3 linked regions of the Mus musculus genome follow. The protein of the gene in region 1 interacts with the protein of each later gene in a pairwise test. Links are inferred from orthologs where the notes say so. Each region holds a gene or a part of one and is shown in the gene's direction. Other genes may lie near its edges. The genes, in order: Ralbp1, Tsfm and Amotl2.

Region 1 (3,745 bases):
GTGGAAGCCTCGGTCTGTCTCTGTGGGTTATTGGCTCTGGTTGGACATGATGCCTAGTTCTAAAACAGTTACCAGCGGAAATGGTTATGTGGTGTTCCTTAAGGGGGAGGGAAGACTGCTGAGAAACAGCCAATAAATATGCTCTTTATTTGCACCTCCATTAGCACAAATAAATAATAAAAAAAAGTGTGCATAGATTACTCCTGGATTGGCTCACGTAAACGCGGCACTTAAAGGCTCTGCAGAAACTATGGCTCAGAAGGAAGTCAGTCTTCACTCTTGCTTTTCCCTCTCCCTTGCTGTGTCCCCCACTTCTCTGCTTTCAGCCTTATTCACTTCCACGGTGAACGAGTCACGTGATGTTACACGTAAATTACTCAGTTAAAAAAAAAAAAAAAAGCCTCTTTCCCCACCTCATTATCCCATATGTCAATTCCAGGGAAGGCTCCATAAAGCCCCGCTCAGGCAGTGCTTATCCCTTGACCAAATCAGAACTGCCAGCGGGAAGGAGTAATTTAACTGGCGTACTCACAGGCCATCTTCTCATGGAGGCTGTTTTATTGCTACAGGGGTTGTGGAAAGGTCCCTCTAGGACCTCAGTGTTCCACTGGGAGTGACTCTTTTGCACAAGGGGATGGACTTGTCATATTTGAGCAAAGATGGCTTGGGAGTGTAGCACACGATGGATCAGTGAAGAAGCAGACACTAGAAATCTCATCTCTCTTCTGACTGCCAATGTCATAAACCCAGAATAATTCCATGGAGTGCTGTTTATTACAGTATGCACCAGCCAACACGTTTTCCGTCCTTCGTGGGGGACTTCTGGAGGATACGCAGCTGTTTCTATTTGTAAGCTGAACGTGATGCTGTGCGGCTTTAACTCGGGTATGGATTGCTAACTGCGGAGGCAAGTGGGTGGGAGCCAGCAGTTTCCCGCAAGTCAACACACTTCAGGGGTCCTGCGGATTGCCCAGCCCTGGCCCCAGAAGCCTCCTTTCTCCAAACCCCCAGGCAAGAATTCTCCAAAGGAAGATCTCCGCCCAAAGAAGGCCAGCAAGGTGCTCCGCCCAGAGGCGGGGTGGGTCAGCAGCCCAGGCTGGTTTAACTGGTTGGAACCACTTAAAGTACGCAGACGCTGGGGGGAAAAGTGTCACTCTCAGTAGCTGCGGACACCAGGCCAGAGCTTGGGGAGGAACGCGCTTTCTTTCCAGCAGAGCTCCGCAGGGCTCCCACACTGTTTTCACTTGGATTCGCTCCGGTAGGTGTGTGTGTTCCACTCGCTCCCCAGAACACTGCGCAGGCGCCTGCAGAGCCTTAGCGTTTGGCGCATCCTCTCGCGGGTTCCCTGTTCCCCCTTAACGAGTTCCAGCTCGGGAGGCGCGGTGCTTTCTGGGCGTTGTGGTTTATGTCGGAGACAAGGGCCCTACAGCAGCGGGGCGTTGGGTTAACTAGAACTACAACTCCCGGCGTGCCCCACGCGAGGACGCGGGGCGTTTGCCCTAGCCGGCCCTAGCCGTCACGGCCAAGGAGCCGAGGACCCGGGAAGCCGGCTGCGGCGGGAGGAGGGCGTGCGCGTGCGCGCTGGGCCGGCTCGTCCTGTTCTGTCCCAATCATTGTAAACAGGCGAAGGCTGGGCGGGGTGGGAATGGGGCTCCCGCGGCCGGCCCGGGGTGCAGCGCAGGAGGCGGCGGTTGTGGCGGAAGCGTGAGTGCGAGGAGGCGGCGGCGGCTGCAGCGGAGCGGACGGTCGCTCGGCGGCAGGCACTGGTCAGTGGCGGGGAGCGGACGCTCGCGGGGGTCGCAACGCTGCGGCGGTGTCCGTGGGAGCCGTCGGGCGCCCGGCCTCGCGCCCGCGCCTGTCACGCAGCGTGCCGGGCTTGGGATCCCGGGCTCGGAATGGGAGTTGGGGGTGGGGGGCGTGGCCGCCCCGCCTTACGTTGTCCGTGAAAGCTTCACCCCGGAGCTTGCTCCTTTGGGGTGGGTCACGCCGCCTGCCCGACAGGCCTCCTTGGGAGCACCCGGGTGTGTCCTGTGTTGCTCTGGGACCCAGAGGCTAGTTGGGAGTCCAGCTGCTTCCTCGGACCCTTCCAGGCCTCGGGGCATCCCTGCGGGCCACACCTGGCCGGAGCTGCGGCCGGGGACTGGCCTGACGCAAGCCTTCCGGTTTATGGGTCGCATCTGCCTCGCGCATCTGGCTCGCCCACCTGTCTCCGTGTTTGCCGGGTAGAGTCGGGGGAACAGCTCCTGTTGTCGCCCGTGGCAGGCGTTGGGCAAGGGGACGACCCTGTTTGCAGTGGTACTTGTTCCAGGGTTCAGAAGTGTTCTGTCTGATCTGGAGTTAGGAGCTCCATTCTCAACGGCGTTTTCAAGCGTTTTCGTACCAGAGTGTTCTCAGTCGAGGCCAGCTTTCTTTTTCCATCTTTTAAATATGTCGTTGTGAAACAGGTTTGACGAATTACTCCACTTTCCAGTCTCCTGAAGTAGGTAGGGCTGGTTCAAGTTTGGAGATTATTACAAGGATTCTTCCAGAGAGAGCAGCGTGCGTACCCTAAGGTTTTTAGAGATCACAGCTGTTTTCATTAGAGGTCTGTGCTTGTGACAGAAGTGCTATAGTGTGGGCATTGAGCTGTTGCACTGCCCAGCTTTGGTGGTGTTGATGGAACGGGGGTGGGCTAACACTGGTGCTTTGGGGTAGCATTACCTATACTTGGCCGTTATTAACAAAGTACTCAGTGATAAGTTATAAGCCTACTTTTGGTTTAGTGTTCAGACAGCACTTTAAGGAAAGGTCCCATCACTTTCTGTAGTAGGAATTATCTCGATGATTTCAAGGTCCTGGATGTCTTCTTCAAAATGAAGAACTCCTGTTAGTGGTGTTAGCATTTTCAGAGGTCTGCAGTCAGTAGAGTGCTTCTTGTTTTTCAGTGTGTCCCATAGACCCAAGAGAGATAGGTTAGTTTAATAGCAGTTGCTGTTAAGTAAATTTTAAAACGAAGTATCTAGAAGCCAGCTGGTGGTGGCACACACCTTCAGTCCCAGCTCTCTGGAGGCAGAGCTCTGTGAGTTTGAAGTCAGCCTTGTTACAGAGCGGGTTCCAGTATAGCCAGGGCTAAACAGAAATCCTGTCTCAAACAACAAACAAACAAACAATCACAGAGAATCTAGAAACAAGTTACAATAGCTGAATTTGCTGTCTTTTTCAAAATGTGGTTTCTCATAATAAGTTTACAGGGACCATTTTCCTCGTAATTTGGAGAGACCGAAGTGGTGTTTTAAAAAGTGTGTACTGGCGCTGGAGACAGGACTCACTGGTTAAGACGTTTGCAGTGTGACTCTTGGAGAGTTACAGAGTTTGTTCCCCAGTAACTGTTCCCAACTGCCTGTAAGTCCAGCTCCCAGGAAACCCAAGACCTCTGGTCTCCACAGGCAATGGCCCTCCTCCCCCCATAATTAAAAATAATAAAAAATTTTAAAAGTGAATATTAACTTTATTTTGTACAGTTACACTTGCATAGTCACAGCTCGGGAAGAAACGATTAGGTCCACAACAGTATCCCAAAGTATGTTCCGTTATTTTCTTTTTTTGTGGTGGTGGGGGGTGGACAGGGGTGTCAGGGTCTCACTGTGGAGTCCTGGCTGGCCTGGATCCTTCTTCCTATGTGGATGCTTGAACTGAGAACACATAGAGCTTCCTGCTTCTGGCTCCTAAGTGCTAGGATTGGATGTATGCCCAGCTATTCTTTTCT
Region 2 (3,745 bases), on another chromosome or scaffold:
TCAATAGGGGGAGTCTTCCTAGACCTGAGCCCCAGGAGGAGAATCAGAGATGTCCCGTTGGTCTGTAGCTTCTTCATCCTTTGCAAAGCTCAAGACCTGATCACAGGCATCATGTGATCACATTCTGGATTGGGTTCGAGGTTCTTCTAATCTCTAGTTCTTCCTTCCACGTCAGGTTTTCCTTCTTGTTTTGCCTTCGGTTCTTGTCTCTCCCTCTCTGCAGCAGTCTGGCTCTTTTTTTACTTAGCCTTTCGGCACACAACCATCTTTGATGTGTCTGCCACTGTTCTCTTAACCTAGATGCCACGCCTCAAGCTCTTGCCATCTTCCAAAACCTGCTCTAATTAGCTTCTACTGTCAGAACAAACGTCTTTGCTTGGTACTCAGGCCACACACACCTGCTCCTAAACTACTTTGTATCTCATTTCCTACTCTGCTTCTTTTGCACTTTTAGCTAAAGTGTCTTAACGCTTTGTTCCCTAACTCTATGGGCATTCCCTGGCCTCTCCACTTTTCCGATGATCCCTTCCAGGAAGGGCCATTGCTCTCTGTCTACACTTATGCTTTGCTTCTGGAATCAAAAAAAGAAAAAAGAAAAAGAAAAATAAGAAGAAACCACTCCTTTTCCCGAGCTTTCTGTTTGGATGTGGTTTCCTTGACTGGAGATCTTTTAACTGGTTAGGGACCTTATATTGCCTTACCCGATTCTTATTTCCTCAGACCAATAGATGCATTGGAGGGTAGAGCTATGATTTATGCATCACCGATCCCCTGAAACTAGCAACAGCTCCGGGCACACATATGTTCAGTAGATATTTTACTAATTCAGCAATTATTTATTGGGTTTGTTGAAGGAACTCTGCTTCTCCAGGTGACCTTGGGCAATTTCCTGAGCCCACCCTACTTACCTGCCGTGTGTGTGTGTGTGTGTGTGTGTGTGTGTGTGTGTGTGTGTGTGTGTGTGTGTCCGGACTCATAAATGGATAATGAATATAAAAGTACATTGGAAATAAAGAAACAAAGTGTCACCTACATGTCTTGTGTTGTTATTTCGCAGCAACTTTACCGCTAAGTCTTTTGTGAAATATTTTAATGAATTTAAAAGAAGCGGGCACATCCCTCCTGCCAGCAGGTGGCAGCATCCTCGCGCCACGCGTTCTGGGAGGCGTTTTGGCTCTCGCGCCACGCCGTAGGCCGGCGTCCCGTCTGTGCGCCGATGGGCGGGAGGGCCAGAGGGATGTCGCTTCTGCGGTCGCTGCGCTTCTTCCCGGTCGCGTGCACCGGCCGCTCGGTGAGCGCGCGCGCCCTTCCCTTCTCCCGACCCTGGCCCCGCGGATGGTGCTCCCCCTCCTCCCGTTCTGCTCCGGGAGCTCATCCCTTTCTCCTTACTCTCCCCAGGCGAGGGCTGTCCTGCTCCAGCCGTCCCAGCCATGGCTCACGTTTCACGCCGGCCCCTCGCTGTCCTCTGCTGCCTCCAGCAAGGAGCTCCTTATGAAACTGCGGCGGAAAACCGGCTACTCCTTTGTCAACTGCAAGAAGGCTCTGGAGACTTGTGGCGGTGACCTCAAGCAGGTGGGAGGAGGTGCTGCGAGATTTGGTGCTACGGCTCCACCCCATTCTTTCCTTCCGGGGGTCACTCTGCGGAGCATAGACATGACCTGCTGCTGCCCAGTGTCCTGTGCGACAGAACTGGCCAAAGAGGAAAATTTGGCTTAAACGAGAGCTTTACCCTTCGACTGCGTTTTCACTGGAAGCAGTTAACCTAGAAACTTAACTTGCTGAATTCCATGTTCCTTATGGCTATGAGATTTGCTGCTGCCTGGAGATCGGTGTTTGTATAAATTTAGGAGTTAGACTCCAGAGGCTCTCACACCCGCTCAAACTCTGGAGATCGCAATGAATCCTTTCGTGTTGTCAGCGTTGTCTGTATAATGAAAACACTACCATCTATCCTATAGTGGGGTTGTAAAGATTAAAAGTAGAGAAGCAACAGCGACTACAGCGCTTGGTGTAAAGCATTTAGTAGTTTCTCTTATAGAATGTGGGTGTGCAGAAAAAGTCATATGGGGGCTGGAGAGATGGCTCAGCGGTTAAGAGCACTGGCTGCTCTTCCAGAGGTCCTGAGTTCAATTCCCAGCAACCACATAGTGGCTCACAACCATCTGCAGTGGGGTCTGATGCCCTCTTCTGGTGTGTCTGAAGACAGATACAGTGTACTCATACATAAGATAAATAAATCATTAAAGAAAAAGAAATTATAAAAAGTCATATATGGTTTGGACATATTTTAAAGTACCTTTCATTTCTAGTTCCTGTGACTGACTTTCCCCTCTGTTTCTTTTGCATTTGTAGGCAGAGGACTGGCTGCACAAACAGGCCCAGAAGGAAGGATGGAGCAAAGCCGCCAAGCTCCACGGGAGGAAGACTAAAGAAGGCTTGATTGGACTTCTGCAGGAGGGAAACACAGCTGTTTTAGTAGAGGTGCGTTGTTGGGATGCCACATACTAGAAACAGCTGTATCTTGGAGAGTACGATCTGTGGTGGACCCTTTGCATGCTTAAGGAATCTGTAAGCGGTGGCTCGAGTGAAGTCCCCAAGGCCTCCGTTATGTGACGGGATTAAGAATGTAAATGCAGGGCTTGAGAGATGGCACAGTGGTTAAGAGCACTGACTACCCTTCCTGAGGTCCTGAGTTCAATTCCCAGCAACCACATGGTGGCTCACAACCATCTGCAATGGAGTCTGATGCCCTCCTCTAGTGTGTCTGAAGACAGCTACAGTGTTCTCATATATAATAAGTAAATATTAAAGGTAAAAAAAAAAAAGAATATAAATGTCTTGATGGGAATTGTCCTAGCAACCTAGATCATTTATTCTAAATGTTAGACTTAAAATGTTAGACTGTAAGTGGTGGACTTAGAAACTAGTAGCAGGGTGCGGCAGCTCTCGCCTGTGTTCACTCCATACTTGGGAGGCCGGAGGATTACTGTGAGTTTGAGGGCAGCTAGGCTACAAGCTGGAATCCTGGCCTTTACTCTTAAACAAAACAAAACAAAAAACACGGTAAGAAAGTTGGTAATTATAGTAATGTATTACTCGGTGTATTGATGACTAGTAAGTAGCAGGCTTAGAGGAGTCTGTGGGGTCAAGGCGTGTAAAAAACAGATAAAGCTACAAGAAAGGAACAACATAAACAAATGTGGTTTGGGAGATGAACATGGTAGTTTGTGGGTGTAATTCTAGTGCACGGGAGGTAGAGGCCAGAAGGTCAGCTCAGGGTCGTCCTGGTCTACCTAACGAGTTCAAGGCCAGCCTGAGACACTTTCACAAACAGTAGGTGAAGTGGCCATGGTGCGAGTCCCTCAGGGTGTTCTGGAATCCTGCTGGGTATGCAGGCCTCGGCTGACTAGTTCCCTGGCTTCTGCCACCCCGGAACTGTGGGCCTGCAGCTTGTTCCGTCAATACCTTGGACAGGTCTCCAACCTTAAGGCACTTTTAGAAACTATTAGTAAACAGCTTATACAGCAATATCCATGCATTCCCACAGGTAAACTGTGAGACAGATTTTGTCTCCAGAAATTTAAAATTTCAACAGTTGGTCCAGCAAGTAGCCCTGGGAACCATGGCACACTGTCAGAACCTGACGGATCGGCTCTCCACGTACAGTAAGGTGAGCGTGAGGGTCGGCTCCAGCTTGCTGAGTTTTTGTCTTCCACATTTTAGGGTCTGTTCTTTTTCTTTTTTT
Region 3 (3,745 bases), on another chromosome or scaffold:
GTCAGAGCAGCTAAGCTGGAGGAGTCTCCTGGGGAAGTAGAAGGGTCCAAATGACAAAGGAGTCGATTCCACACCAAAAGCCAGAGAAGCGGAAGACAAAGAGGGTTGGCTAGGTGTAGACGAGGTGGAAAAGACACTGAAACTCGGGACAGGTAGGTGGAAGCAGAGACTCTCTGCCTTGTCAGGTTACGGAGACCGGATTTTGAAGACCAAGAAAAGGGACCTGGCTTCATTGGCTACTCTCTGTGTGACCCTAGGCAAGTTGTTTAGACTCTCTGAACCTTGGTTTCTTATTTATTACAGACATGATAAGAGCACCGTCGGAGGGTTACTGGAGTCGGATGGCCGAGTAAAAAGCAAGTGGTGACCCGCCGCGTGCTTGGCTTAAAGATGAGCGGAGTTAGGGAGGAGTTGGACCGAATGCCCAGTGAGTGGTTGATTCATTTAGTTAGGTAGTGGGTTAAATCCACCAGATTTTCAACCCAGATTCACACACTTCCTGTAGAGGCAGGATTAAAAGAGCTGGCCAAGGTGTTTGTAAACAATAAAAGTGCAATTCAAAGTTTGCCGCTGGGGGGTGAAATAGTAGGAGTTAGGAAAGAGGCTGGGCAGCGGCGGGCCGAAACATCGTTTCGTCTGCAACACTGTCAAGGCTGGGCGGATGTGAACTGCTGTGCAGTCCTCCCGCCATTTCCAAAACGCCACAGACCCTTCTTACAGCCACCATAGGGGCGTGAGAGGCTGATCCCTGGAGTCGTCCCTCGGTGCCTGTAGGAATGGAGGGTGAGAACCCGGTGCGGGCAGTGGTGGGGCGATCTTGGGACGAGTTGGTTAAGACACTCCCAACAGCTAGGACACAAAGCAGGGTGGCAGGGAATGAATGCCGCACGGCCGCCAGAGCCCAGAGTGGCAAGGGGACAAGGCTGAGGCCAGCCCAGCGGCCAGCCGCAGCGCCGCCTCCCGGGAGGAAGGCGGGGGCTGGCCCGGGGAGCGGAGGGAGGCGGAGAGCGGAGGAGGGCGGCGCGCTGAGAGGTTATTTGTGGTTCGCTTTGATCCCGAGGGGGAACCTGAAACTCTCACATTCCTGGCATAGCAGCCGCCTCCAGCGCGGGCTGACCTAGAGGCTGCGCACTGGGGCGCGAGCAAGCAGATCATCGGCGCCACCGACTAGTGCGCACCTCCGTTGCTGACTGTACCTAAGCCGAACCGGGTCTGCGTGCGCCGGCAGCCGCGGGCCGCAGCGGTAAGCAAGGTGCCGGGCACTCCGGGCAGTGCGCGAGGCCGGCGGGGACGCTTCCCAGCAGCAGCGGGACACCGCGATCAGTCCGACCCTTTCTGGAGATCGGAGCTGGGGTGGACGAGCCTCCCCGGGAGCGGGAGGGGAGACTGTGAACCCTTTCGAGGATCGATCCTGGGTGTCTAGCCTAGACTGCTCGCGCTTTTGTGGGGGTGAGGACACCATTCTCCGACCCACTGGGGCTGGAGGAAGGACAGAGGATCAGTGTTTGGGAGTGTGCGTCTCGCGTGCGGGGCAAGTGAAAAGCTGCGGTAGGCATATCTCGCTGAATTATGAGGTTACCGTGGCTGCTTTGTCTGGATTGGGGATACAGGTGGCTTTTACCCTCAGCTAGCTCAAGAATTCCTCTTTGTCTTCCTTGGAAAATCCTCTGCGGAGCCACGAACTGGCTCTCACTTAGAAAGAATGCAGCCTGCTGTCCAGTCCGGTGACGTCAGCGCTGAAGTATTTGGAAAACAAAGAGGGTTAGGGAGAGAGGCGTACCCGCGATGCTTAAAGACCTCTCGCGGTTGCGGGTTTTGCTCGCCCGGGGCGCTCGGGCAGCCACCGGTGCTAGTGGTCTGCCTCGGTAGAGGTGAGTAACGCCGGGACCCTGGACTGGCCTGGTTGACTTGGAGACTAGCGTTGGTTCCTTTTGCTGGAGTGAGCCCAGGCCAAGGCCAGAGACCCGTGTTTGCTTAGAAAGGTGGCTGGTTTTCCGAGTGCAGCGCTCCAGTGCAGCCCAGGTACAGCGCCCGTGTAAGGAAGTTGATTTTCAGTAAGTGCTCTTATATAAGTATTTGAAAGAAAGATTGTGCATCTAGGGGATTCGATTGGGACGTTTGTGCGATGAAAGGCCTCGGAAATGTTCGGTGCTCCGAGAGCCTGGCTCATAGTCGGCGCGCCTGGAATCTGCCGGGAAGGCTCAGCATTCCTTCTAGCCGCTCCCGGATCCTTAGCGCGAGTCAGCCCAGACAGTGATTAACTTAGGAAATACCGCGTAGAAAAAGCCGCGTGTGAGCAGACTCTTCAAGTCTTACACATTGCAGGGTGCAGTTGGGGGGGGGGGGGAGGATTAGTTGCTGGCTTGGGTATCGTCAGGGCTCATTACCTTTCTCCAGCTCTGCCAACATACCATTCCCAAACTGAGGTAGGACAGGGGGCTAGCATTAGTATGGCACAGAAAGGGGCCACCACCCCCTTCCTTTGTCTCCCCCCTCGCCTCATTACCCCATCAACTGGCATAGGTAGTTGTTACTAATATCAACAGAGATGCAGAGGGATCATCCCCTGTGTGCCTCTAGCATACACGTAGGGAGGGGTTTTTCTAAGTAGCAAATGTGTGTGCCAAGAAAAGAGGTTGGTGGTCATGGAAAATGTTTCCCTGGCTCAGTTACTGCAAGCTCCCCTCTGCCTCCTCACCAATTTCCATGGGGCTTCTTGTGCTGCTCACCTTGCAGAGTGGCTGCTAAGGTCATCTGTGACAGGGAGACTCAGATTTATTTTATCAGCAGCCTTTGAGCCCAGGGTCTGGCTCACGCGTCTTTATTCTAAAGAATCAATGGAATTATTTGCTTAGGGCTTCTTTCTGCTGGGCTACATTCTTTCTTTACCGCCTGCCAGTAAACTGGGAACCCTATTGCTAAGTGGTTGAATTTGATGGACGCCTGTCCTACAGTTTGCCCATGAGATTGTTTGGGGTAATGGCTGACTGCCGGGGACTGTGATATGAGATAGCCTTCTGGTTTTCTGTTGTATATCTGTAAGATCAGCTAAATCTCCATAAATGTTACAATGATAAGCATTTGCCAAGGATTTATAGCATACCAGGCGCTCAGCTTCTTACATTTCAACTCCAAGAGACACACTGTGTGTGTGTGTGTGTGTGTGTGTGTGTGTGTGTGTACATATATATGTATGTATATACATATATGCATATATATATTTATATTAATGGCAAACTAAGGATCAGAAGCTCAGTAACTAAACTTAATCAATAGATGGCCATATTAGCACTTGCATCTGGGCCTGTGTAAAACCACCCACCTACCCACCCAGCCTCCTCCTTCATCCAGAGTGTTCCTGCAAGTGCCCCTCCCTCCTTTGTTTGTGCTTCCTTTGACTGCTATTCTTTCTGTCTCTTAGGTGCTCTGAGACCAGGTGCCTGCTGGCCATTGTCTAGGCAGGTGTGTGCAAGCCAGAGAAGCATGAGGACACTGGAAGACTCCTCAGGGACAGTCCTGCACCGTCTCATCCAAGAGCAGCTGCGCTACGGCAACCTGACAGAGACTCGCACTCTGCTGGCTATCCAGCAGCAGGCCCTGCGGGGTGGGGCTGGAGCTGGGGGCACGGGGAGCCCCCAGGCTTCCTTGGAGATCGGAGCACCCGAGGACAGTCAGGTGCTGCAGCAAGCCACCAGGCAGGAGCCCCAGGGCCAGGAGCATCAGGGTGGAGAGACCCACCTGGCAG

Evidence for each region.
Region 2: the proteins of Ralbp1 (region 1) and Tsfm interact in binary tests that used the Homo sapiens proteins (3 or more experiments, as listed by UniProt). The two-hybrid records come from large-scale screens. The link is inferred for Mus musculus from reciprocal best matches to the Homo sapiens genes RALBP1 and TSFM.
Region 3: the proteins of Ralbp1 (region 1) and Amotl2 interact in binary tests that used the Homo sapiens proteins (3 or more experiments, as listed by UniProt). The two-hybrid records come from large-scale screens. The link is inferred for Mus musculus from reciprocal best matches to the Homo sapiens genes RALBP1 and AMOTL2.

What each region holds. Positions count from the first base shown.
Region 1 is NC_000083.6:65,882,699-65,886,443, reverse strand, and holds the start of Ralbp1 (ralA-binding protein 1), read left to right. Parts: upstream 1-1,520; 5' UTR 1,521-1,766; intron 1,767-3,745. UniProt on the Homo sapiens protein: Multifunctional protein that functions as a downstream effector of RALA and RALB. As a GTPase-activating protein/GAP can inactivate CDC42 and RAC1 by stimulating their GTPase activity.
Region 2 is NC_000076.6:127,028,290-127,032,034, reverse strand, and holds the start of Tsfm (elongation factor Ts, mitochondrial precursor), read left to right. Parts: upstream 1-1,220; 5' UTR 1,221-1,237; coding exon 1,238-1,291; intron 1,292-1,398; coding exon 1,399-1,572; intron 1,573-2,352; coding exon 2,353-2,481; intron 2,482-3,547; coding exon 3,548-3,670; intron 3,671-3,745. UniProt on the Homo sapiens protein: Associates with the EF-Tu.GDP complex and induces the exchange of GDP to GTP. It remains bound to the aminoacyl-tRNA.EF-Tu.GTP complex up to the GTP hydrolysis stage on the ribosome.
Region 3 is NC_000075.6:102,716,660-102,720,404, forward strand, and holds the start of Amotl2 (angiomotin-like protein 2), read left to right. Parts: upstream 1-1,144; 5' UTR 1,145-1,243; intron 1,244-1,733; exon of another isoform or gene 1,734-2,054; intron 2,055-3,421; coding exon of another isoform or gene 3,422-3,483; coding exon 3,484-3,745. UniProt on the Homo sapiens protein: Regulates the translocation of phosphorylated SRC to peripheral cell-matrix adhesion sites. Required for proper architecture of actin filaments.